Linked DNA regions of Drosophila melanogaster. The protein of the gene in region 2 interacts with the protein of the main gene of each other region in a pairwise test. Each region holds a gene or a part of one and is shown on either strand. Other genes may lie near its edges.

Region 1 (5,910 bases), on a different chromosome or scaffold from region 2:
TTCCAGGTGGACATGCTGCATGCGGTGACCGCTAACTTCCTGGGCGACAACCTGCAGTGCTGGATGCAAATCCAGGTGGGCAAGGGACCCTGGGCCTCCGAGGTTTCGGGCATTGTCAAGATCGGACAGACGATGACCATGGTGCTGGCCATCAAGGATGATGAAAACAAATTCGATATGCTAGTGCGCAACTGTGTGGCCCACGACGGCAAGCGGGCTCCCATCCAGCTGGTGGATCAGAATGGCTGCGTTGTCAGGCCCAAGATCATGAGCAAGTTCCAGAAGATCAAGAACTTCGGACCCTCCGCATCGGTGGTTAGCTTCGCCTACTTCCAGGCCTTCAAGTTCCCCGACTCGATGAATGTGCACTTCCAGTGCGTCATCCAGGTGTGCCGCTACAACTGTCCCGAGCCCAAGTGCGGTCCCGGTTTGCCGGGTGGCGAGTACGGTCTGCCCCAGATTGGAGCCAACGGTCTGTCCGAGGAGTATGGTCCCCCAGAGGCATATGAGCGCAACGATTTCGCCCTGGGCGGGCCCGGAGTTCTGCCACCAGCAGCCTATCCTGATCCACGTCACCCTGCCTCCGATGCCACTGGAGCGTACTCTGAGAACCAACCGGATGTGGTGCCCTCGCCCCAGGCTCAGACATCGGCGGCAGTGCCCACTGCTGACTCGGGAACCGTTTCCGGACCTGCCAGCTCCCAGTCGCCACAGCCTCAGCCCACTGGCAGCAACGAACTGGGTCTGCCGCCACCACCACTGCCAGGACAGAGCGGTCAGTACAGCACGGTGAAGCGCAAGGATGACCTGAGTGCCGGTGGCAACCTGGTTTCCTTGGGCGGACGCCCACGCTCCGTGGAGGGACTGGACGATCTGCGCGGCGTGCGAAGGCGCAGAGACACCATGGACATTGTGGTGAAGCCACAGAGGATCTACAAGAGGAACGCGCAGGAGATGACCGATGTGAACACCAGCCGAATTATCCAGGTGGTGGCGCCCGGAGACGTTAACTTTGCGCTGAACAGCAATGCCAGCAACGAGACGGTGGTCATCCAGTCGGCCAGGTCCGCGGATGCGGAGACCATCTGCATGTCGGTGCCCAGCTTTGTGGGCGGATTGGTGATGCTGCTGCTCGTCCTGGCCGTCGCCTCTCTAGTCGCCGCCTTCCTCTTCGTCCGCGTGCGTCACTTCGATCGCAAGGGAGCGGGCATGGCCTATGTGAACTAAGGATCTGAAATCGGGCCAGAGGACCGGACCATCATCACCATCAACAGCGACCGATCGGCGTGAACAGAAAACCAAATCAGTTTTATGTGCACTTCAGAAACACTCATTCCAAACCCATTCCCCATAGGCACCCCCCATCCCATAACTATTTATTCTTTGGTTATTTATTGAGATCCCACAATCCGCCACTTTCAAATGGTTTCCTACTTTACCACTACGCTCTATCCTTCATATGTTTCCCTAGTTTTAGGCAAAGCGAAATTGAATTGTCAGACTTGTTAAGTTTCAGTTATACCTACGCGGGATTTGAGGCCATCTGAACGAACAGATTAGCCTCGAATGTTACAATATGCAAGTTAATAATATCGAGAAAATAAACACAAACGAAGTAATGAAGCGGCAAACATGGAAAGGCAGAAAATCGTTTACAATAAGTTAATATAGCAAATGTATATATTAAATTATTTATTTATTACTTTATTTGATAGCTGCGAAATAATAAAAAGTTTACTTTTATTAAGCGACAAGTGTTTTAATGCGTTCTAATAGTACCTCTGATTATCGGAGCTTGGGAACGACTGATAAGGAAACGCAAACAAAGCTAATGCAAACTTTATCAGTGTGATGAAATGTTTGTGTGGGGGGCTTTGATAACAGCCCTTGTGTTGGCCGTGACTGGAAGTTTTGGTATAAACAAAACAAGTTTGGCAAAACGAATGAATAGAATAAAGAATAATATGGTTCGCATTGTCATACAAGCGAGGCAAATAGGAATATAAAATACGATCATCTTGAATTTGCTAACTAATGATCATAAACCTGTGTTCAAAAGTATACTACACACTTTTATTAGAACTATGATGCCGAGGAAAATCTTTGCGTGTGCCTGTTTATTTGCCGAGCACAACTTCGAGATCATGAATACACGCAGAAAAACACTTTTTAGCTGAGATATTTAAAAAACAAGAATGACCGATTTAAAATCGGCTAGTTTTGCCAATAGAATTAAAAAGGCAAATGAATTATTGGTTAAAAATGATATCTACGCTGGATGCTTTCCTCCACAGTTTCAATAAAACCAAGAGAAGTACGAAAATACATGTAAATTTATTGCAACACACTTATTTACATATTGATCTAATCCCTTTGAGCTTAAACACTTTAAAAACAACAGCGGACGCTAATCCGCAACTGGAATCGGATTAATGCGCGCATCCATTATAGCCGCCTGAGGTTTGTGTCCCTGGGACAATACATACGATTTCGTTCAAAAATATTGACTACATCTAGGTTGAACTAAAGCGAATTAGCACTCAAATTTGTAACAATTGATAACAGTGGTGGTGTCTATCTACGCGGCACGTGCGTCATTGATGGTGGAGGGCACATGTACCTCCAGGCCCTCCATATCCTTGGACAGGGTGATCTGGCAGCCCAGCCGCGAGGTGTCCGTCAGTTCGTACGCCAAATCCAGCATGTCCAGCTCCTCATCACCGGGTTTGTCGGGCAGTTTCTCGAAATCGCTGGTCTTGAAGATCAGGTGGCAGGTGGAGCAGGTCAGCGTGCCCTCACAGGCCCCGAAACCATCCAGATCCACATTGTTGTTGACCACCACGTCCAGCAGGGAGTCACCCACTTTTCCGGACGTCTTAATCTTGTCCCCATTGGCACGCACGAAGGTTATGTTAACACTGCAATAGCGAGATTGGTCAATGTTTACGCTGCTCTGGCGGTGTGGAGCTACCATTGTAGTGCTCGTGGGGTGGAGAAGATACTCACACATCTTTCGTTTTCAGGGCCAATCCCGTCGAGAAAGTACGCGTTGCGATCGGCGATCGCAAATTGAGGCTGCGTAGCGCCAATCTGGAGGCAGCTCTGCATGAGTTTATGACTAGCATTCTGGTTAGGATTCCTTTGCAATCTCTTACTATAACTGACAACACGCACCCACTCGTGTCGCTGCGATCGGTTGTTAAATAATAAGGAAATCAATTAAATTTTGTTAAACGTGAAGTTGTGTGTGACCGTATTGGACTTTCTGAAAAAGACGTCGTGCCTTTAACGTACTAAAAAACAACAACAAACTGCATAAGCAGTAATTTTAAAGTTAAACATTTAAATGTTTGCACAAATTATTGCACAAAATATTTAATTAACAGCAACTTTCTTTTTATAACGGAGTTAATTTGTGTTACACAAAAAGTATATGTTACTGCTGCAGTTCAGGTGTGAACACACTAAATACTGAAACAGGGTTGCTACAGCGAGTGAAGAAACCCTGTATTCACCTGCAGACAGACAACCCTGTGCGTCAAAACAAGAAGATTTAAGAGTGGAATAAATTTAATTACGTTTTAAAACCTAAACAATGGGCGTGTTGGACAATATTGCGTTGCATTTCACGGGGGATGCGTCCAGGAACAGGAACACCTCCATAATAGCCGGACTTCTGGTAGGCTAACACCCGCAAACAAAGAGCCGCCCGCCTGACAGTGCAACTTTTTCTCCTTAGTTTTTCGCAGGATGGTGGGTTCTAATCGATGCCATGTCCATCGACGGCAAGCACCAGATTACCACAGGACACGTCTTCATCGGCATCTTCGGGACCATCAGCTTCTGCATGGTGAACGCAGTGAAGGGAGAACATGTAACACACACTTATCATTGGGCTTAACAAGTGACTCACTTCTTTTGTTTGTGCGCAGATTTCTGATGAGAACTCATCGGAGTCCGGCGCCAGGATAGCGAAGATCTGGCTGCTTGTGGGCTTCCTAATGGGTTTTGCCTCCATCATTGCCGCCATCTGGGTGATGATCGACGACTTCATCAACAATGGTGAGAAATAAACAGATATTTAAGGATTCCTTAGCTGAATTGCACCCACTTATCGTTTTTCAGAAAAGAAGGATGGCTGGTTTGGCGTGGCTCTGCTGATGCAAAACGTCTTCATCCTGTTCGCCAGTTTGGTCTACAAGTTTGGACGCAACGAGGAAGAGTGGAATGAGTAAAGCTTCCATTCAAATTATTGCACAAGGGAACGCAGCTTTTAGTATCTAGACTCATTACGTACATAATCAGGAGTCCAAGGAGTTTATGCTTGAGGCCGAGGACACCATCACTCGCAAATCCTCACCCCACACATTGAAGCGTAAAATGTCCAACTCTGCTACTGTTCATATTCGAAAAAATCGTCGAGTCTGTACGGATTTCCCTCACTATTTCCGACATTCTGCCGCTTTGAATCGGAAAAGGGCGCAGAGCAGGGCCAATAATCTCATTTATATTTAACAAAATAAACGACAAGTCACTTGCGTAAGGCCACCTTTGAGCTGTACTTTATTTTCAGGCAGAGAGCGTTGTGAGAAGCAACAGGACGATCAACCCAAGCCGCCCGCTGCCCCGACTACATCTACAAGGATAGCGACCGTTAAGAGAAATGGTTTAATAGCTGGTCAAACTTGTGCATCGTACGCGTCAATGGGACACTCGTGCTCGTTTTGCAGGCACCACTGCGGCTGCATGGCCTCTGCGCCCAGACCATTGTCCACCAGTCGCTGGCGGTGGAGCAGCAGACGTGACTCCGCCTGGCGCCAACCTTCGGCAGGATTTGACCAAAGTCGTTCGGCCAGGGCACTGGCCCTGGGCCAGAAGCGGTTGTCCAGTGTGTGCTCGTCGATCTGCTCTGACCAAATGGCTCCCTCCGCGCCCAATACATGATGCTCGTAGTCGCCGGCAATGGATTTCAAACTATTGTCGTACACCTTCTGCCAGCCAATGTAGGGGGAGCACCAGTTGTTTCCATCGGTCACCCAGCCAGCTCCGCCGCAATCCAAGTACAGGGCATCGTAGTTGGACACAATGATCTTGTAGCCCCGCTCCAGAATCTTCTTTACCTTCGGATCTACACCAGTGGTCCAGATCTGAATGATGTAACGCTCTGGGTTCAGATACTCGTCAATGAAGGGCTCCTCAGTGAGTCCACTAGTCCACAGAATGATGGGCGTGTGCGTACCATTGGCCACCTTGTCCACGCGACCAAGAGCCTCCGTCTGGAAGTGTCCCCACAAGCGCATAAAGTCGGCGGTCTCCAGGCCCCAACCCTGTTTCTTCATCCACTGCTGGATGGGCTGGCTGCTGTTCCAGCAGCTGGTTGACACTTCATCGCCGCCCATGTGGAAGATATCCGGGTTGAACTGATCGAACATGGTGCCGTAAATGTCCTCCAGCACATCGTACATTTCGTTCACAGTGGGATCGAGTTGGCCACACGGTGGCTCAACGCAGAACGACTTCCATGGCTGGGCATTGAAGCAGGCGGTCATGTTCTTGTGCTGCCAGCCCTCACCCACATGGGCAGGGGCATCGAACTCTGGCATAACACGGATGCCTCGCACGCGGCCGTACTCCACAACCTCGGCCACGTCCCGACGGGTGTACACCTGCCGTTGGGAATAGGCTCCCAGCTTGTGCAGCTCCGGACGCTTCTTCACCTCCAATGGGAAGCTGTGCGAGTCCGTGATGTGCCAGTGGAAGGTGTTCAGTTTGACCAAGGCCATGCCCTCTAAGGAGGAAAAAAGGATACTCATAGAGTCAACGGAAAACATAACCCTCCCCTGCCTCTTTCCTGAACCATTGCCTTACCCAACGTCCTCTTGATGGACTTCACAGAGTAGTAGTTACGGG
Region 2 (5,075 bases):
ATATTTCATATAATTCTCCATTACATATATAAATTAAATCGTAAATTAAAAGAGCTCACTTTTATTGATTTTAAATACTTAAAAAAAAACCCACACAAATAGTTCTGCTGCAAATGTTTGTTGGGTAACTCGCTGAACACACGCCCAACCAACTGCAAAAATATAACGGTATCCAAGGTTGTGCTACGCTTAAAATGTAATTGTTCGACTTAAAGAGCCAGAGCAACAACATCAGCCAACAGCGAAACAACAAAACCAGAAACAACAACAACACGGCGATCAAGTTTGCCGCCGTCACCTTTTGCCGTCTAATCAAATACCAGACCAAGACCCAGGGAATAACGCCATCGCTTGAGACTCTGAGCTACCCACCTATGGATACGATACGATACCATACGATATGTAGATACATCCCATAACCGGCAGATGCATGTGCAGTAAAAAAAAATAACACGCATTAATAACTACATTAATTAGTCACCAACTATTGTGTTTCTTTCAATATATATAACATATTTGTATTTCGTACCTATCAATTTTACCTATTATTTGCCAACAAAATTACATACTTCTAATGATCAACAAGCATTGCACCATTTAAATTTAAATGATATTATCGAACAGAATAAGTATTATAATATTTACAGTTTTTAAAGTTTCTAATATACAATTAAATACATCATGATTGTGCAGATTATGATTTCTCTCCGTGTCGATGTATGGGCATGCCTGCATGGGCAGAGAGACACCAACCAACACATGGTCGAATCCGAAATTCAAATCCCAGCTCAACGTCATCGAAGCGCCGCACTCTGGAGGACTCCGCGATGCATCGCAGCGGGTCTTTGGGGGCTGGGGCGGAATTTTCACTTGAATATTCGACACACTTTGAGCCCGGGCACACACAGCTGGAAGTCGCGAAGGTTTGCAGGATTTCCAGACTCAGATTCAGATTGAGATTCAGGGAGGGGCGCCACAGCGCGCTTGGCTGTCTCAGCGATTCTTGGGGCTATGCATCATCATCATCATCATCGGCCGGGGCCGGCGTCGAAGTTGGAGCTGCAACATGGCAACATGTTGCAATCTGCCAGCTCTGCATGCATAAAATATTATGCAACATTATGCCACAGACACAGGCCAGACGACACTCTTGGTTTTATTTACACTTTTTTCGGGCTGTGGCCACCCCTCGCCCGAAATGTTGCTGCTTATTAGTGCCGGGATGTTGACAGCGTTTAGATCTAATTGAATCGCCCGGATCGCCGATTTCTGTGCCGTCCGTAGAACATTTGGCTTGGCCCGCTCCCATTTGGCCCATAACCCATAAATCTAACACACCGGCACGAGAGATTTATAGAGTTCAGATTGCGAAATGCGCAGAAGCACAGCACAGCGCGCAGCGCCGAGCTCGGAAAATCTTGAAAAATTAAAATGACTAGTGCCGGGGCACGATCAAGACCGTGCTGCCGTCTTGATAGCAGACAATGGCAACTCCGGAGGAGATGGAAAGCCCAAAAGCGAAACCTCAGCGGTAGTCAGCATTGGGGCGTCTGCAGTTCAACGTTCAAGTGGCACAGTACGCCCTAGAAAAATGAATTGATTCGATTGTTTTTCGCCGCAACTCGGGCTCCTCTACTTTATCTGCCAGCGCCGAGCGGAAAAATCTGAAAATGGTTAGACAAAAAAAAAACGAAAAATCAGGGGCAGAGGCAAAGGCAGAGGCAGGGAGCGCGCCCCGAAAAATACTGATGATACAATCGCGTTTTTGACTTTGAAAAGTCAGCTTCGAGTCAGCCGGGCTATTGTTCAATGGCCCAACTGCAGCAGCGGCAACATCAGCAACAGCAGCAGCAGCAGCAGCAGCAGCGGCCGACACTGATTGTTATGGTTTATGAGATGAAAATGCACTCGAAACAATATTCTGGGGCCAATGCAATTTGCGATTTTTAATCAACTCCTCTCGTCAGCACTCAGCAACAGAAGAAAACATCGTATTTGGGGGCCCCTGATTGCAGCTTCCACTTCGAGAATCGTGGCTCCTTCATCTGGCTTTTGATCTTCTCCCCGTCCCCGAGATGATTCCCCTGGCTCCTAGCCTGCATCCACTCGACCATCATCTGCAGGCCAGCAGAGCTGCCCTCCAGTTCGCCGCCCACTTTGCGGCCACAGTGCGTATGCGCGATGTAGCCACACACCTTAAGTTCTGCGGCTTTGTGGGCCACAACTGAAAGCAGGGCCTCATCGGAATCTTCGGGCACACTCATTTCATACGCTAATAGGTAGATCTCTGGCTGCGGTTGGAGTACCAGTTCCAGCGACATTTTTGGGAATGGAAATTTGAGTATGTGAGTTTTCACGGCTTTTGAAAATAAATGATCCAGATTTCCTAAGTTACTCTGCTGATGATATATAATCGAAAAATTTGCGTGGAGTAAACATCACTGATCCATCCAAAGGTAAGCATTTAAAACAAATTCTGAATCTTTAAAAATGCTATACTTTTATATTTATATAGATTTTCGTAAAAAGTATTTTTATAAACTATCAGGAAACGTATTTTAAAACAAAATGTCAATTAATAATTATGCTTTGCGTAAGTCATCAGTTTAATCAATTTAGTTTAAAAACAAACCTACACGCCAGTAAATTTAGCTTAACACTCAGTACAATCCAAAATTATAGCCCTAAGTTATTTGCATATCTTTCAGCAAAACTAAACAAGAAATGACATTATTAGGGTCCTACGATTGGATGTTCAATGAGGATATTCAACTTAGGACCGAGTTTAAGTTGTACAACATAATGTCAAGGAACCAATTTCCGCGTCGAATTCTTCAATATTGCCACAAAAACCATATAACCGGATACATAGTATTCACCCACGGGGGCAAACAAGCATTTGGAGTGATGGATGGCAAGCGGAAAGATTTAAACCGGATAAAGCCCTACCTTCTGAGGTTTTGCATTCCAGAACCCTTTAACCAACGAGTCACTTTTTCAGCCTACGAGTTATGCTTCAATCCGAACAAAGAGAAATTTAATATTAAGGATAGAGTTCCTAAGGGCGCCAAGTTTCTGGGAGATATATACGAGGACTGCTTTCTGAGGTTCAAGAATCAAAAACCGGAACCGGAAGAGGAAACCGAGGCAACTAAAGCCTTGTTCGCAAAATATTCCGACTTCTTTAACTTAAAATATTTCGTCAATTGTTAATGGACAATATATAGCTAAGACTATGCCAGCACAATTCCCGATTCTCTTTAGTCGCAGTGATTTCTCGCAGTGTGGATGCGACTCGTGCTGGCCATTGTTCAACACTATTTGCGGCACTCAATCTCTTAATTAAATATGCGACTAACTGGCAGCTCGGAGGCACTCGAAGAGTGGCCCAGACATCGCCGTTTAGTGTCGAAATTGTGCAAGTTTTGATTTTCCTTTTGTTGTTATGGAAGTCGCTGTTTGTATTTTTTTTTTGTTTTTGTTTTTGTTTTGGCTTGGTTTGGTTTTCTTGTTCGCTGGATAATCACAGGCCCGGCGAATAGACGGCAGAAATTAAATCAGCCAAGGTTATCGCATTAATAAGCCCCCTGGTTTGGGTTTTACAGTTTTCTGAGCCAGTCAATTATTAAATTTGCAATTTCCGTAGCTGAACTTTTGGGGTCAGTAGACTGATTTAAATCAAAACCGTAATTGAGCATTGCCCGCGAGCTAGAACCAATCGCACCAAAAACCAAATACCAAATACCAACCTCCGGGCAGGAAAATTGACAAATGTTTGATAGCTAGCTACCTTTTCGGATTGCTTGTTTCACGTGCATTTATTTTCCTCCAAAAGCGGATGTGGGGACGCTGCGAATCCGATTCAGAAAATGTACAGAAAAAAAATCGAAAATCAAAAACTCCCAGCTAAGTGGCTTTCCATGACATTTTACTGACACTCTTGCCGTTGAACTGGAAGACCTGTTTTCATTTTCCCTCTTAGCGCAACTTAACACATTTGACGAAGATGTCTATGCCAGCAAATGACGTGTCATCAATGGAGCCCGCACTCCCACATAAAGATGCACAGCGTCCTCAACTCGATCTCGGATCTCACATCTCGCATCTCGTACCCCGGCCACAAATCCCCAGCACTTGAAGCTTGAAGAGATCTGTTGGTGCTGTTGTATTAATAAGCCTGACATTTGAGCAGAGCATCCACTCGAAGCCATCGGGTTTCGGTTTTGCGTGTAGGCGTCTGAAAATAATAATTAAAAAATCGTTTCTAATGCGGAAATCTCGCGTTTTTGAGCTGGGGGTGAGCTTAATGCCGAAGATGTTAGACAAATATATCAGATTTCTATTTCTTTTTTTGTCGCGCTCCTCGCTTTGGTTAATCTTCCAGTGGACGGTTGTGGGGGATCGGCAAATCGGTGACATGGGTAAAGATGGATCGTTGGGAAAGCAATTGAACAGTGGATCGTCAGAGGTGAGTTGTGGAATCGTATGGGACCACAAGATGTAAAAAGGTGTAAAAAAGAAAAAAAAAATCAGCTTCCAAAATGTTTTTGATTTGTAGGCACGTCAGAAAGTTGTAAAAACATCCAAGCGGCAATGTATTAGAAACATGAAAATTAATTGGCTATAATAAAAAATAATATCTTTAGGTTTTATAAATTACATGATAATTATAAACCCATAATGTATTTATTGGCTAACCAAAGAAGGAGTTTATTCATAATATATCTTTATAATCGAGCACCTAACGGCAGTTAATCGTTAACAATTAAACAAGTCACAACTACGAGAGATGGACAGATCGACAGCAGATATTAAGGCCAATAGGTTGGCCATTGGGCTGGGCTGTGGCCGAAAGCATTAGGCCAAGTGTCCCGGCCCGCCCAAGAATTCAAAGACCTGGCCCGCCCAAATAATTAAATATGTAAGAGGCAAGAGCCCAAGTTAATAACAGCTGCTACCACAGAAGCCTTTTGCCGGCCAAACGTTAAAAATTTAATAATCGCCTGCGAGTATAAGGCGGCCAGATGCATTCGTAGGCCCAGAGATACAGATACAGATGCAGGCCCATGCCCATG
Region 3 (5,642 bases), 2.2 Mb from region 2:
GAATTAAGGGCAGGCGTTACATTCCAACCAAATGGAATGACAATGGGTGTGGGGTTAAAGATAAAAGGATTTTAGTTAGTGAGGAATATATTTTGTGATAATAACGGGTAATTAAATTTTTTTTTATTTTAAACTGAACCGCTATTAGGCAATTTTGGGCATTAAATAGTTAAAAGCTTTAGATACACAGTTTCAATGCGGTATACAAAACTTCATTAATTTTCGATTAATCTAGTATTTTTATACTATAATTTAAAAACCTTACGTCATTTATTGTTTTAAATCAAATTTTAAATTTAAATATTTTAAGATATTCCACTTCTCCAAAGAGGTTTTTTTCGAACAATTTTTAACTCACAGCCAACAGCTGTTGCATCCTAAGCAAACATTTGTATGTTTAACTTAGTCCTCTTGAAAGCTCAATTAAAGTCGCGTGTATAACCGCCCACTACCCAGGGATTCTCTAAACTTCTACACTCCGAACACACACGCCAAGTTTGCAACTTGGCATATGTTTATCTGCTAATCATGGAAATGCGATGCGGTGTTGCAAAATATTTATCTAGAAACGGTTGACTAAAAAAGAGGGAAATAAGCGAAACAGCTTTTCAGCCAAACTGCAAATGGGAAAGCAGCCCCCTTACCGGTTTCCCACTTTTCCGGCACGGCGACCATATGCCAAAAAGCTGAACCAAAAATCGCACACACATTTGGGGATAAAACGCGATGCGAAAAAAGCATAAGTAGGCTGCTGTGACATTTCGTTGTCTGGGTATACGCTCATCGCGAACAAGGATACAGGAGCATTAGGGTGGAGCAATTTGTTCGAAGCTAAATATAAAAAACTTCAATATTGATTAAACTTGTTCATGCATATAGGACTTAAACTAAGTAAAGATCTGAACTAAAATTAAGTGCTTTTTTTTTAATAGAAGAAATATTAAGATCAGCTATTTTTGCGGACTGTTGATTTCCTTTTAGCGCTTAAACCTTTATAAGAATATACTTGGCATTTCAAGACTTTCGTAAATTCAGAACTTGGCTTAGATTGACGCACCCTGATAAAAGCACACTTATAAAGGCACACATTTGTATATCCGCACATCGGCACACACAAATAATTCGCCGTGCTATGTATGCCAGTATGCCGAAAAAAAGGGCAAGACATAGCTTCACCCGCTTTTGTCGCTGCCCACGCGTCACGGGCCGAAAAGCAACCACCCCACTAAGCAGCCCGCCCAACTAACCCACCGCCCGCTAAAACCACCCAACGACAAGCTCACCCACTCAGCCATCGTGTATGCCTTAACATTTACCTTGTTGGCCCGAAGTTGTCCACCAAACATTTGTTGCACTCTTCGCGTAGGAACCGCTTCTCACCATGCTGTTTATTCACCAGGCTCTCTCCCCCACTGGTTCTCTCTCTTGCTTTCTCTGCCTTTCTCTTTCTCTGTTTACATTGCTCTCTCTTTGAGGTAGCCGACGCCGGTCCGACGTCATCGCAAAGGTCAAAGCAAAGCAGCGCGAGTAACTATATAAAAAACCCTACAATTGCACCGGAAAAAATGGATTTGCATTCGAAATTCATAAGTTTATTTAAAATAAATATTTTATTCATACATCTTTATTTCCAACAATAATTAATGACAAAAATAAAATAGTATATTTAGAACTTGATTTCTAATAAATAAAAAAAAAAGAAATAAATATTTTAATCTCTAAAAATATTCCATATGAAGTATACAGTGATTTAAAAAAAGTTACTTTTTTGAAATCTTTTACAGTACAATATGGTGTAGAACTTGTTTGAGTGCATTAAAGCTTTTTACGAAAATTTAAGGGATCCTGTAACTGGTGGGTTGGCCATTCTAAATGCCTCGAGGGGCGGTGGTGCGGATGGCGTGTGGGTGACTTCGGTGGGTGTCCAACCATATGGTCAATTCAATGCACTGAGTAAATTGCTCCTTGGCGGAGGCAACGCTTCATTTGGTTTTCAAATTGAATAGGAAGCGTCGCGACATTGTCGGGCGCCTCGCTGCCACCCACTTTCCCGAATATATGTATACTCCCCACCGCCCTTGCATTTGAGGATTCGTCCTCCGCTAATTGAGACATTTGTCAGTTTGCGCAAATGAGCCACCATTTCTCAAAGGCACCCTCTCATTGGCCACGGGAATTAGGAGACGGAAAGTAAGGACTTATTCCCGACAGCAATTTCGTATTTTAATCGATTATACCCAATGGACCTATTTTAAATATTTAGATTTAAAAACGCTTTAATGAAATTTTATAAGATTTTAATATCTTTTCCTATTTTGGGCCAAATATTATAATAGAACGGACAAGAAATTTATCCTGTAACAAATATATGTAGCATTGGTTTCTTGGATGTTTTTTTTTTTTTTTTTTTTTTTTTGACAAGTTCGAATATCCTTTTGCGTGGCTTACTTAAAAACTGTTCGCTTAATCAGCTTGGATGGCGTTTTTCTTATGTTTGTGGATGAACTAGGAATGTCCTGCAGTCGGCCCTTTTCAGTTGGTTTTGACTTTACCAACTGTTCCGTTGTCTTGACTTGACTTGGCTTCTTATTAATTTTTTTCTCAGCGACCGACGATAAAGGAGTCTTGGGTATTAATTTCTTTTTCTTTTTAAGTGACTTCTCCGGAGATTCTTCTTTGTCAAGGGCCTCCATCTCAGACATCAATGTCTCGAAGGTCACATTCATCAAAAAGTAGCGACCTTTTGAATTTACCTTTTTTTAAGGTGTGGTATAAAAATAAGTTTAAGTATCTCACCGTCGAGTTTCTGCAGGAATCCCAAGCGATGGCCCATTTCAAGGGTTTGTTTCACAGGCTCTTTAAGCTCATCTTGCGATAATTCCGTATTTTTGGCTATGGTTACCACTATTTCTCGCAGTGTCGCCGGCGCTTTCAACAACTGAAGTGTGTGCACTATAATAGCCCCATTAAAGTTGGGCATTTTTTTCGATATTTGTGTAATTCTGTATAAACGTGTGCTATCACTAAAATCGGTTCTAAGAACTGAGAGTTACGTGCAAAACACAAAATACAACTGGCCAGCTGTTAGTCAGATTTCAGTGACAACCAAGTTCTCAGCATGCTTTAATTTAAATATTACAAAATCCTACACTTTTAAATAACACAATTATTTTAAAGAAATCTATTAATTAAAAGAGAATAGTACATATTGATAGAAAAATACCTGTACCTTGATTGTACTCTGTTCGCTGGCATTTGAATCCTTGGCCAAGTTTGGACCGCCATCCAGTTGGTAACAAGACTTACGTAGACTGGCCGACGTCAAGCGCTTATCTATCAGCCTTGCAGAAGCTGGCCAATATAAGCGGATTTAGCCATATCTATCAATAATCCCCGACTCACAACAACAGGAGTGGTAAAAGAATTGAGCAAACTTTGCCGCTCTCTGTTCTCCAATATTGGCTTCTGATATTTACATCAGGGACGCCTTTCTGCTGACGTTTTTCGCCACTGCTGTTTCTAATCAGCGTGGTCTAAATATAGAATCCCTGACCGCCCACACTTTGGTAATCGAGCCCAGAATATATACCATATGGAGGTTTAATTAAACTGGGTTGTGCAAAAAAGAAAAAAAAAAAACGGCACAAAAAAGCGAATGCAAAGAAAACAATAAAGGATGTTTATACGCACGCCAAAGTTTTCGTTATCAATCATTTTTATAGTGGCAATTAAAGCCTCAACAGCTGTCAAAGTCAACTGACTAACAAAGATGTCAATGCTCAGTCATCTTCAACTTCAGGCAATGGCGAAATCGATGAAAAGGCGAACAAAAAGCACTAAACAAAGTTAAAATGTTATTAATGCCTATTAAGTACAAAAACTACGCCAGTTCCAGTGCTGCCAAGGACAGTTGGAAAGCAGTGCCGTTTACTCTTGATATTGACAGTCAACGGTAATTTAATCAAAAAGTGTCAGAGTTTGCCATATGGCTGCCACTGAACCGAACGTTTGAAAGTCAATAAAAAAAATGGTTAAAACGAATGTGACAGCTAGAAATATATCGTTTCTCCGATGCTCTTTTACGTACATATATATATTGTACTCTTTTTTAAGTATTTGTACATCTTAACTTTAAAGGCTTAAGAAAAATTTGTGATATTATTTGGCAATTTTATACAGAAATATTCATTTTAAATTGAATTAAACATTAAAATATTAAAATGTTTCCAATGTAAAGTAATTAAATAACTTTTAAATGGGAAAATGTACGCTCAGAAACTGAAAAAGACCGAAAAGAAGCCAATAAAATTAATAATTGTTCAATATTGTTGTATGAGCTCCTTCTTTACGTTCTATTTTAATAATAAAATAAACGATTCATGGAAAAAGAACAATAGGATCTTAAAATCAATAACGAATATTTCCAACGCAAATTTTATGTGCATGTTTGCATATTAATTAAAACGTAAATTTCAATGTAAATAAAAATTCAACAATCCGGTGATTTACAATAAGTTCTTATACATTTTTTGCCCTTCACTTTGCTGGCCCTAAAGCACATTAAAGTATGCTATGATTTCTGTTTTTTCTTTGTCTGTTTGCCGTAAATGTATCTGTGTGTGTATGCAGGAATGGTTTTTGTAGGTGGGTTAAATTCTATTTGATTTCCGTTTCGTATAGACCTAAAAATAGAAGCGTTGAAAAATCAGGGACAACAGCTCTCCGCCCAGAGCGAACATTTATTTAAAATGTTTGATGTTTTCCTCGGTTAAATGTAGCCTTTTGACTCTAGCCCAAAAATGAAATACAAACACCGGACTACCAGGAAATTCGTTTGTTGATTGTTTTGCCCCAACGTTTTGCACACTAGAAATAAAAGAATTTCAAAATGGCAACACACTTGCGCACGGAAATTCTTTTCTCAAAATGCCATTTAAAATGCAGTACAAATGTTATTTTAACACTTGTCACTGTGCACAGCCATAAAACACGAACGAGGTATTTTATGAAGTCGGTAGGTGAAAGCAGAAGGCGTGTTTAGAATGACACGCTTTTCACTTATTATTTATGGCAAATGAGAAAAGCTGAATTGTGAACAATGCTGCAACGGATTTTATTGGACAGGAAATTCAGGCATATTTACGGCTCAGAATGGATAGAATGCAAGCATTTATTAAGGTTTAGGTAAAGCACTTTAAATAAAATACGTATGAAATAGATAACCTGAAAACTAAAAAAACATCAATACTAAAAATTTGACATATATATGTCGATTTGAAAACCCATTGCCTTTATGTCAATGGTTTCTCTTGACTCACTGAATTGCTTCAAGTTTAATTTGTTAGCCAAATACGCTTAATTGAACTGAAATCTTCTATACCAAACGGGCAAACACACACACACACACATTCGCATCTTCTTTGACATTTATGCAGAGTCAACCTATAAGCACACAGTGCGACCCATAGGTGAGTGTACATGCGAGTAGTGTGTGTACATGTGTGATAAACGGCAGCCTCTGCAGCCTGACAGTTATACTTGCTGTGTTTTATTCGAAAGGATGACCTGCCCGGCAACCCCAACCCTTATTTTTCCTCATTGTGAACTTACACCACCAAAAAAAAAGAAAAATACTGGCGAAG
Region 4 (6,815 bases), on a different chromosome or scaffold from region 2:
CTCTTCAGCTTGGCAAGATTTTTAAGAATCTCTAACTGCTAATTCTAAATAAATTGCATTCAAACAGAAGGACATTAGTCTGCTCACCTCAGATGGATGCTATCTGCCCCCGAGGGAGTCTATCAAAGTGTTGAACTCTGCCGAAGGACTCAAGTAGGTGAGCTTATTTCTTTTTACGATCTACTTGAGCATATTCATCCCTTGCAGAGCCTTTCGGTTTGCCAGCCACGATAGTGATACCTTTGTGAGCCCTGCTCCTGTAAAATCCAGTAAAAAGCGCAAGAATCGATCCGTCGAGGAACAGGTTCACCTAACCGCCTCCACTCCCCTCCGACCTTCAAAGCGCTCCAAGAACCAGAACAACTCAGAATGGATAAATATTGCAGAAAACCCATCTCGTGTGAGAAAGAAGGAGTTGCTAGATATGGCTCCTGGACCTTCTGTACAATCAAAGCTCTTGACAAACAAAGGCACTCCAAAGGCCCCTGAAACTCAGACAGAAGTTTCTAACATGTCAGCGAACATCGAGACAGAGAACAAGGAATCTGCTCCTCAGATTAAAAATAAATCCAAAAACAAGAAACCGACCAAATCGCCCGAGGCATCTGACCAGGTAGAGAATGAACCTGCTCCTAAGAGTATTTCTCGATGCACGCTCAAGGAGGGTAAAATGTCAGAAAGCAAGAATCAAGAGACATCGCCTGACATTCTATCAGAAAAATCTGGTGTGGTAACGAAGGAAAACGAAACTCGAGAGGAGCAACAGGACAAAACACACTTGGAGTCCAACAAAATTCCGGATAAACTATCTCAACTGAAAGCAGGGGACCAAATTGAGAAGAGTCCTGGCATTGCTGCTAGCCTCCTATCGATTTCGTTCCGCTCCCCTCTCTTGGAGATGCCCTTTAATGTTCCGCGCATATTTCAATTTCCCACTAAAAAACAACAAATTGAAATTCTGGAATATAAAAAACTTAAGCCCATCAGTCCTCGTTTTTTGCTGCAGAAAGGAGCTAAGAGTGATGATACGGCTAAACAATTCCCAAGCAATGGGAAGGATTCAACCTTAAAGCCTAAATCCTACGAAATTTTGCACGACGAAGAATTACCAGATGTAAAGGATAAAAAAAATGTTTCAGAAGGTATAAAGAGAGCAGTTGCACCTCTTTGCGAAGACATCATTGAAACATCAACCACTCTTCCGGGGGCCATAGGAGCAGTTGAATCCGCTTATCTGGACAATTCGACTGAAGCTGAGACCACTCTTCCGTCCGAAGCTGAAGCAACTAATCCACTTGAACTTACTGAGTCATTTCTACAGAACAACACATCTATGGAAAAAACACCCAAAGTCGAAAAAATTTTGCCAGATGACGGAAGTGCATCTCCGATTAAAAATAACGTTGATTCGAAGGATGTTAAAACGGTAACAGTGCCCATTTTTGAGGAACAACTAGTATCCGATTCCGACGACGATGTGATGTTGGTAGACGACTCCAATATCGACGTTTCATACGGCGACTCTGATATTGAACCGATTCCAGGTGAGATACGAGGCATTTAAATGGTAGATGTATGCTTATGAGTGCCCTTGACATCTTAGTAGTAGAAAATAGGCAATCTTTGGATATTATAAGGGACCTACTGCGGACTGCAACTCCACTCAATAGCCTGCCGTCCAGGGGCGATACGGTTATATTTAAACTGCTGAAGATTAAGGGAAACGCCAATTCTGGCACAACCGAATTTGTCGCCGGGAGGTGCACTTACGTTAACCGGCGCACCAAAATTGTCACAGTGGAAACAATAAGTAAGCGACTATCAATTTAAATTGTATACCCGAAACTGATCTCGTTAAAATTTTTAGCTTATCCCCCCGAAATCGGTCGCATGTTGCGTCAATATTATATGAGTGGGTTGGACGAGTCTTCTGAGGATGTGCGAACTTTAAGTATTCATCTCAAAGATATGCTTGAAGCCAAAATCATTGTAGCCACAATTGACTGATTATCATTTTTGTGTGTACATTCTTGAGTTCTATTTCCAGGGTTTCGTACATTTATAGCTTTTAAAATACAAACGATTAAACAACATCTATATGTACGAATTCATGTTAGTTGTCTATCCTCTACTTGATGTGCTCCTTGATCTTCTCCAGCAAGTCGTCGGCTTCGTCACCGGTCTTTACGCGTAGCAACAGCGATGTGGCCTTGGAGTCCTCTGGCGTGGGCACGCAGACCATCAGCACATTGTTCTTGCCCATGCGCTGGCAAGGTATACCCTTGCTAAGAATAAGGTTGACCAAGATGTTGCCCAGATTGGTGTCGGCGCGGACTAACAGTTGGATCTTTTCGGAGTCCTTGACAGGTTTCAAGTACAACGTGCCCACGCCACGATCGCCAAAGTCCTTGTCTTTCTTAATGAACACCTTACACCGCTTGGAGTATATAGCGTCATCCTCCACAACCTGTTTGGAGTAGAAGTTATATTATCTTTCCCTTCGAAAAGAAAATTCTTTTATCATCACCTGTTTAAACTCGACTTTTGGGGGCGTATCCTCTTCTTTTTCCTCCTCCGCAGGCGCTGCCGCTGCAGCTGGCGGATGAATGTTTCCGAGAGAGAAGGGCGTGGCACTGTTGGTGAAGGAAAAGCCCTTTGCGCCGTCTCCTGCTCCTCCAGGCGCTTTTCCGAAACCCGCAAACAACGAGGTGCTTGGCTTGTCGTCGTTGTTACTTTTCAGTCCGAAGGAAAAGCCATTGGTCTTCGGTGCCGAGAAGTTAGGCTCATCCTTTTTAGTGGTCGTATCCTTTGCTCCAAAGCTAAAAATGCTGGACTTAGGGGTATCATCGGATTTGGCTTCTCCAGTGGGTTTTGCTGTCAAACTGAAGATACTGGAGGAGGACGGCACTGGCGCAGTGAACGATGCCGTACTGCCGAAGGAGACCAGTGGTGTTGCGGTCGTGGTGGTTGTTCCACCACTGGTTATGGTGCAGTTGGGTTTCTTGGCTAAGGGCGATACGCTGGCGCCTATTGGCGCGCTGGGCTTGCCAAACGTAAACGTAGTAGCCGCTTTTGGTGGCGACGATGCACGGGACACCTTTGCAACTGGTTCTTGAGAACGAGCTTGTGCCGTTTTGGATTTCGTGGAGTTCGTTCTGGCGCTCTCCTCGTCTTGCAGATCCTTTAGATGCTCATCATAGTTCTTAAACACTGGAGTCAGTATGCAGTAGGGACTTTTGCCCATTTGGTCCTGCAGGAATTTTATGACGGACCGATTTAGGTCAGCAACGCTTTCACGGTACTCGGAGGTCTCCATGGTGGATGTGAGGCTAGTGCTGCTGCTGCTGGTTTTGGCCTCGCTACTCTCCTTCTTGGCAGCTGATATGTTGCCAAATATCGAGGTGGTCGGCTTGGCGCCATCGACGGTACTTGTTGATTCCTTGGCCGGCAAAGGAGAGGGGGCCGTGCTGCTGGTGCTGGCGGTGCCGCAAATGCTAGTGCTGACAGGCCGATCGGCCGAACTGGAACTGGAGCTGAACCCGAACGAGAATGCAGACTTTTTTGGCTCGCTGCTAGAGGTCGTGGCTGGTGCCGTCACATTGGCCAGGAAGGAGAAAGGCGAACCCGCGGCTGGGCTCGCAGCCGGCTTGCCGAAACCTAAAAGCAATCGGAGTGAGCAAGTCCCTCAGGTCTGCATGGATTTGATAGCTTACCGGAAAAGCCACTGAACACACTTTTGGGCTCTGCAGTCTTTTCTTCGGCGCCATCCTCTTCAGCGGCGGACGATCCACCGGCAATCTTGCGGCGCGCCTTCTTGATAACGCGTGTCTTTAGCTCCTCTTCGGTGGCCGTGCGGAATGTGCCGCGCTCCTCGGGTTCCTCCTCCAGGTCCCAGTTTTCGTGGTTCAGGTTCGAAGTGGCTTGTCGCTTGCCAGCCATCTTGTTCTACTCTGTATTAAAACTCAAAGCAAATGCCAGTGAAAAAGAAAAAAAAAACCGAATAAAATCCACACCGCGTTGCTGGCGGTCGATAAATGTTATCGCTACCTCAGTTGGGCGACGTAACTGTGAGTCAGCGAAACAGGCCTGCTGCTTTCGATAGCATATCGATAGGGTAACAACAGCGAGACGCCAGCAGCACAAAATCGCAATAAAACAAAAGTATTAAATCACGCCTAAAGTTAGGACGACCATGTCCAGTGCCGCGAGTCCCAGTCACAGTAGCAGTACCAGTCCGAGTGTGTTTCTGATCCTACCATGATTGCCGCGATTCCGGGTACTGCGCACTTCCCTCGCCCAGAGACAAAGTTAATTGTGCATCTCGAGTAGTACGAGCAGTACCAAAAACGCAGAAAACCGAAAAGCGAAAAGCAAAAAGCCAAATTGCATGAGGATGATGAGAACGCCAGTGTGTGGATATATGGATATAGTGCCAGGGAAAGTGCGACGAGCAACAACACAAATCGGGAGTGAACAAAGACGCAGAGACACGTACAGTGCTTAAAGGCGTTATCCTGGTAGTTTCTCAGCTATTTGCCGTCCCGCTCCCACTCCCATTTTGCTCCCGTTCCACGGCCTTGGGCGTGAGCTGGTGTGCGTGCGACTCGCGTGTGTGTGTGTGTGAGTGAGTGTGCGTGTGAGTAAAAGATACGCTGTATATACCAGGACATCGGGATATCCTGAGCAGCAAAATGCCGCCATCCCTGATTGCCGTGTCCGAGTTTGTGGAGGAGACGCGCTCCGATTACAGCTCGCCCACCACCTCCACCTTCGCCTCGAGGATGCCCGACTGCCGCCACACGATTGGCGTCTTGGAAGAGGTAAGTGTGTTGACCAGGCAATTCCTAAGCCATGTTCCTTATGTAGAGGCAGGTAGTCCAAAAAGCCAACAATCTGTGTACCTACAGCCCAAGCAATCCCTAGTTTAAGGTGGGCTATCCTGGTGGGTTTACAGGTGTGTTCTGGGAATCCCAGTCTATATAGTTTTATATTTGAGCTAAACATATAAACAGTCTAGGGGTCACTGAATTTAAAGGCATTTGAACCGCTGAAAAATTGGGTTTACTGTTCAAAAACTAATATCTTCGTAGGCTACGGAGAGTGAGGAATGTGTTATCGTCATTACTTGTTTATTTCAATGATTAAAATTCCGATCCATCTGCGGATAATCTGTAATAATAATCGGTTTTGCAAAACAAAGTTCCTAATTTAATGGAATCTGATCGATGTCGGTGAAAGTGAAAACAGGAGCACGGCTATGTGACCACGCGATACTGCAGCTAACATGGCAGGCGACGCCCCCTGCCAAACGGTGATGATTACTATTTTCCGGGGGGCTGCAGCGGACAGATTTGTAAATTGGCGCGGCGCCAAAATGAGCCACCGCCTGTTATTTTAGTGCGGTCTCTCTCTCCCGGCTCGCGCTCTCTCTCTGTCTGCCCGCAAGGTGGTTTTTCCTCGATTCCACGATTCCACAAAAATAGTACAATGGAAATACAAAGTGCATTCCGGAACGTGCAAGAGCAGATGGAGCTAGGGGCGCAGGGAACTGGGGGCTGGGCACCGAAGTGGGAGTGGCTGCCACATAAGCATGCTGTAATTTCTATATTTACTCAAGGCAGCTGTGATGTCGCCTCCACTTTCATATGTATGTAAGTGCACGGATATAAATCGCCCGCTGATAAAGCTAAGCACACAAAGAGTATTTTACGGCCGGAAAAAGGCGTGTGATAAGAGCAGCGAATCCGAGAACCGCGGCTATTCCCGTACGGGAACACTCAGTCAGCTGGGGATATCGTCCACAGAAAACACAGAACGCCTAAGTGGAAAAGTCATCCATGTTGTCATCCAAAAGACCCTTGAGTGGGCCGGTTGTGCAATATACACATATTGCTCCAATTCCCCAGGCTAATGCAGCGCCCGCCCGGCGAAACAAAATTAGACGATTTATTGGTCGGTCACGTCATGCCCAGTTTTTCCCGGAACTCTGGGCCGCCTTCTTGGACGCCACGTCAAACATTTAATATTTAATTTTGCTGATGGATTTTTGGTGTAGCCCAAGCAGCCCAGTGACCTCCATTCCCCGCCAGTTAAATGAATTTTATTTCTCTTTTTTTTTTAGCCAGTCTCTCCCATTGCGTGTTTATTATATTTGGAGCAGCTGTAAAACTGACTGTCTAAAATGAAATTTAATTTTGTGCGTCCAAGAGTTTCTCTCTGTGCCATTCATTTGGCCGCTCCACAACAAAGTGCTGCTGTTTTAGCCATCTTCTGGGGCTTTGACTTATTATAAATTAGCATCTTTTGTTATCAAAACAGCTAACTGGCCGCGCAACTCGTCCAAAGAGCAAAACAAGTTGACGAATATCGTTAGCTGGTTTTTGTTTTCGGTCTAGGCGTGTTGTTTGCATTCCCAGTAATTTGCTCAACAACATGACTAATCTTCTACAGCCGATGGCGGATTGCTAGGGGTTCATTTGTCCCCAGATGTTTGCCACTCAGCGACTATCGCGTAGTATAGAATTGCAATCGCAAATAGTCAGGTTTCCCGGAGTTCGGTCTTGGCCGATTCGCTTGTTACTTTTTTTTCCATCTGCAGTATTTATTGGGCAGTTGTTGTCTGGTAGCTCATATATCAGTTTCAGCAGGAATGTAAGCGATCTTTGCCGATTCCCATATGATTCGCAGTTGTGTCAGGATCCCTGCGCCCCTCCTTGGCGGCTAATTCAATTCTGAACACAGCATTTTGAATTGGAGGCAATTGGGGAGAGTCATCGGGTCAATGGGGGAACGAACTCTTTCCTTCTCGACTTCGG

Evidence for each region.
Region 1: the proteins of CG15167 (region 2) and Fdx2 interact in a two-hybrid assay, tested with the Drosophila melanogaster proteins (one large-scale study listed by BioGRID).
Region 3: the proteins of CG15167 (region 2) and CG5968 interact in a two-hybrid assay, tested with the Drosophila melanogaster proteins (one large-scale study listed by BioGRID).
Region 4: the proteins of CG15167 (region 2) and Nup50 interact in a two-hybrid assay, tested with the Drosophila melanogaster proteins (one large-scale study listed by BioGRID).

The regions. Positions count from the first base shown.
Region 1 is NT_037436.4:4,289,839-4,295,748, reverse strand, and holds Fdx2 (ferredoxin 2), read right to left. Parts: upstream 3,268-5,910; 5' UTR 3,126-3,267; coding exon 3,007-3,125; intron 2,919-3,006; coding exon 2,579-2,918; 3' UTR 2,317-2,578; downstream 1-2,316. Other genes in the region: dyl (dusky-like), read left to right, coding at 1-1,227; CG15012 (uncharacterized protein), read left to right, coding at 3,596-3,679, 3,740-3,874, 3,933-4,062, 4,126-4,235; Hexo1 (hexosaminidase 1), read right to left, coding at 4,570-4,636, 4,699-5,788, 5,869-5,910. UniProt on the Drosophila melanogaster protein: Required for ecdysteroidogenesis in the prothoracic gland which is necessary for larval to pupal transition.
Region 2 is NT_033779.5:18,737,656-18,742,730, reverse strand, and holds CG15167 (uncharacterized protein), read right to left. Parts: upstream 2,374-5,075; 5' UTR 2,322-2,373; coding exon 1,971-2,321; 3' UTR 1,924-1,970; downstream 1-1,923. Other genes in the region: CG42752 (uncharacterized protein), read left to right, coding at 2,725-3,213.
Region 3 is NT_033779.5:16,546,907-16,552,548, forward strand, and holds CG5968 (uncharacterized protein), read right to left. Parts: upstream 3,054-5,642; 5' UTR 2,981-3,053; coding exon 2,797-2,980; intron 2,741-2,796; coding exon 2,445-2,740; 3' UTR 2,275-2,444; downstream 1-2,274.
Region 4 is NT_033778.4:8,120,262-8,127,076, reverse strand, and holds Nup50 (nucleoporin 50kD), read right to left. Parts: upstream 4,042-6,815; 5' UTR 3,940-4,041; coding exon 3,714-3,939; intron 3,658-3,713; coding exon 2,528-3,657; intron 2,468-2,527; coding exon 2,129-2,467; 3' UTR 2,019-2,128; downstream 1-2,018. Other genes in the region: coil (coilin), read left to right, coding at 1-12, 68-153, 208-1,544, 1,604-1,810, 1,868-2,007; Asap (ArfGAP with SH3 domain, ankyrin repeat and PH domain), read left to right, coding at 4,692-4,820.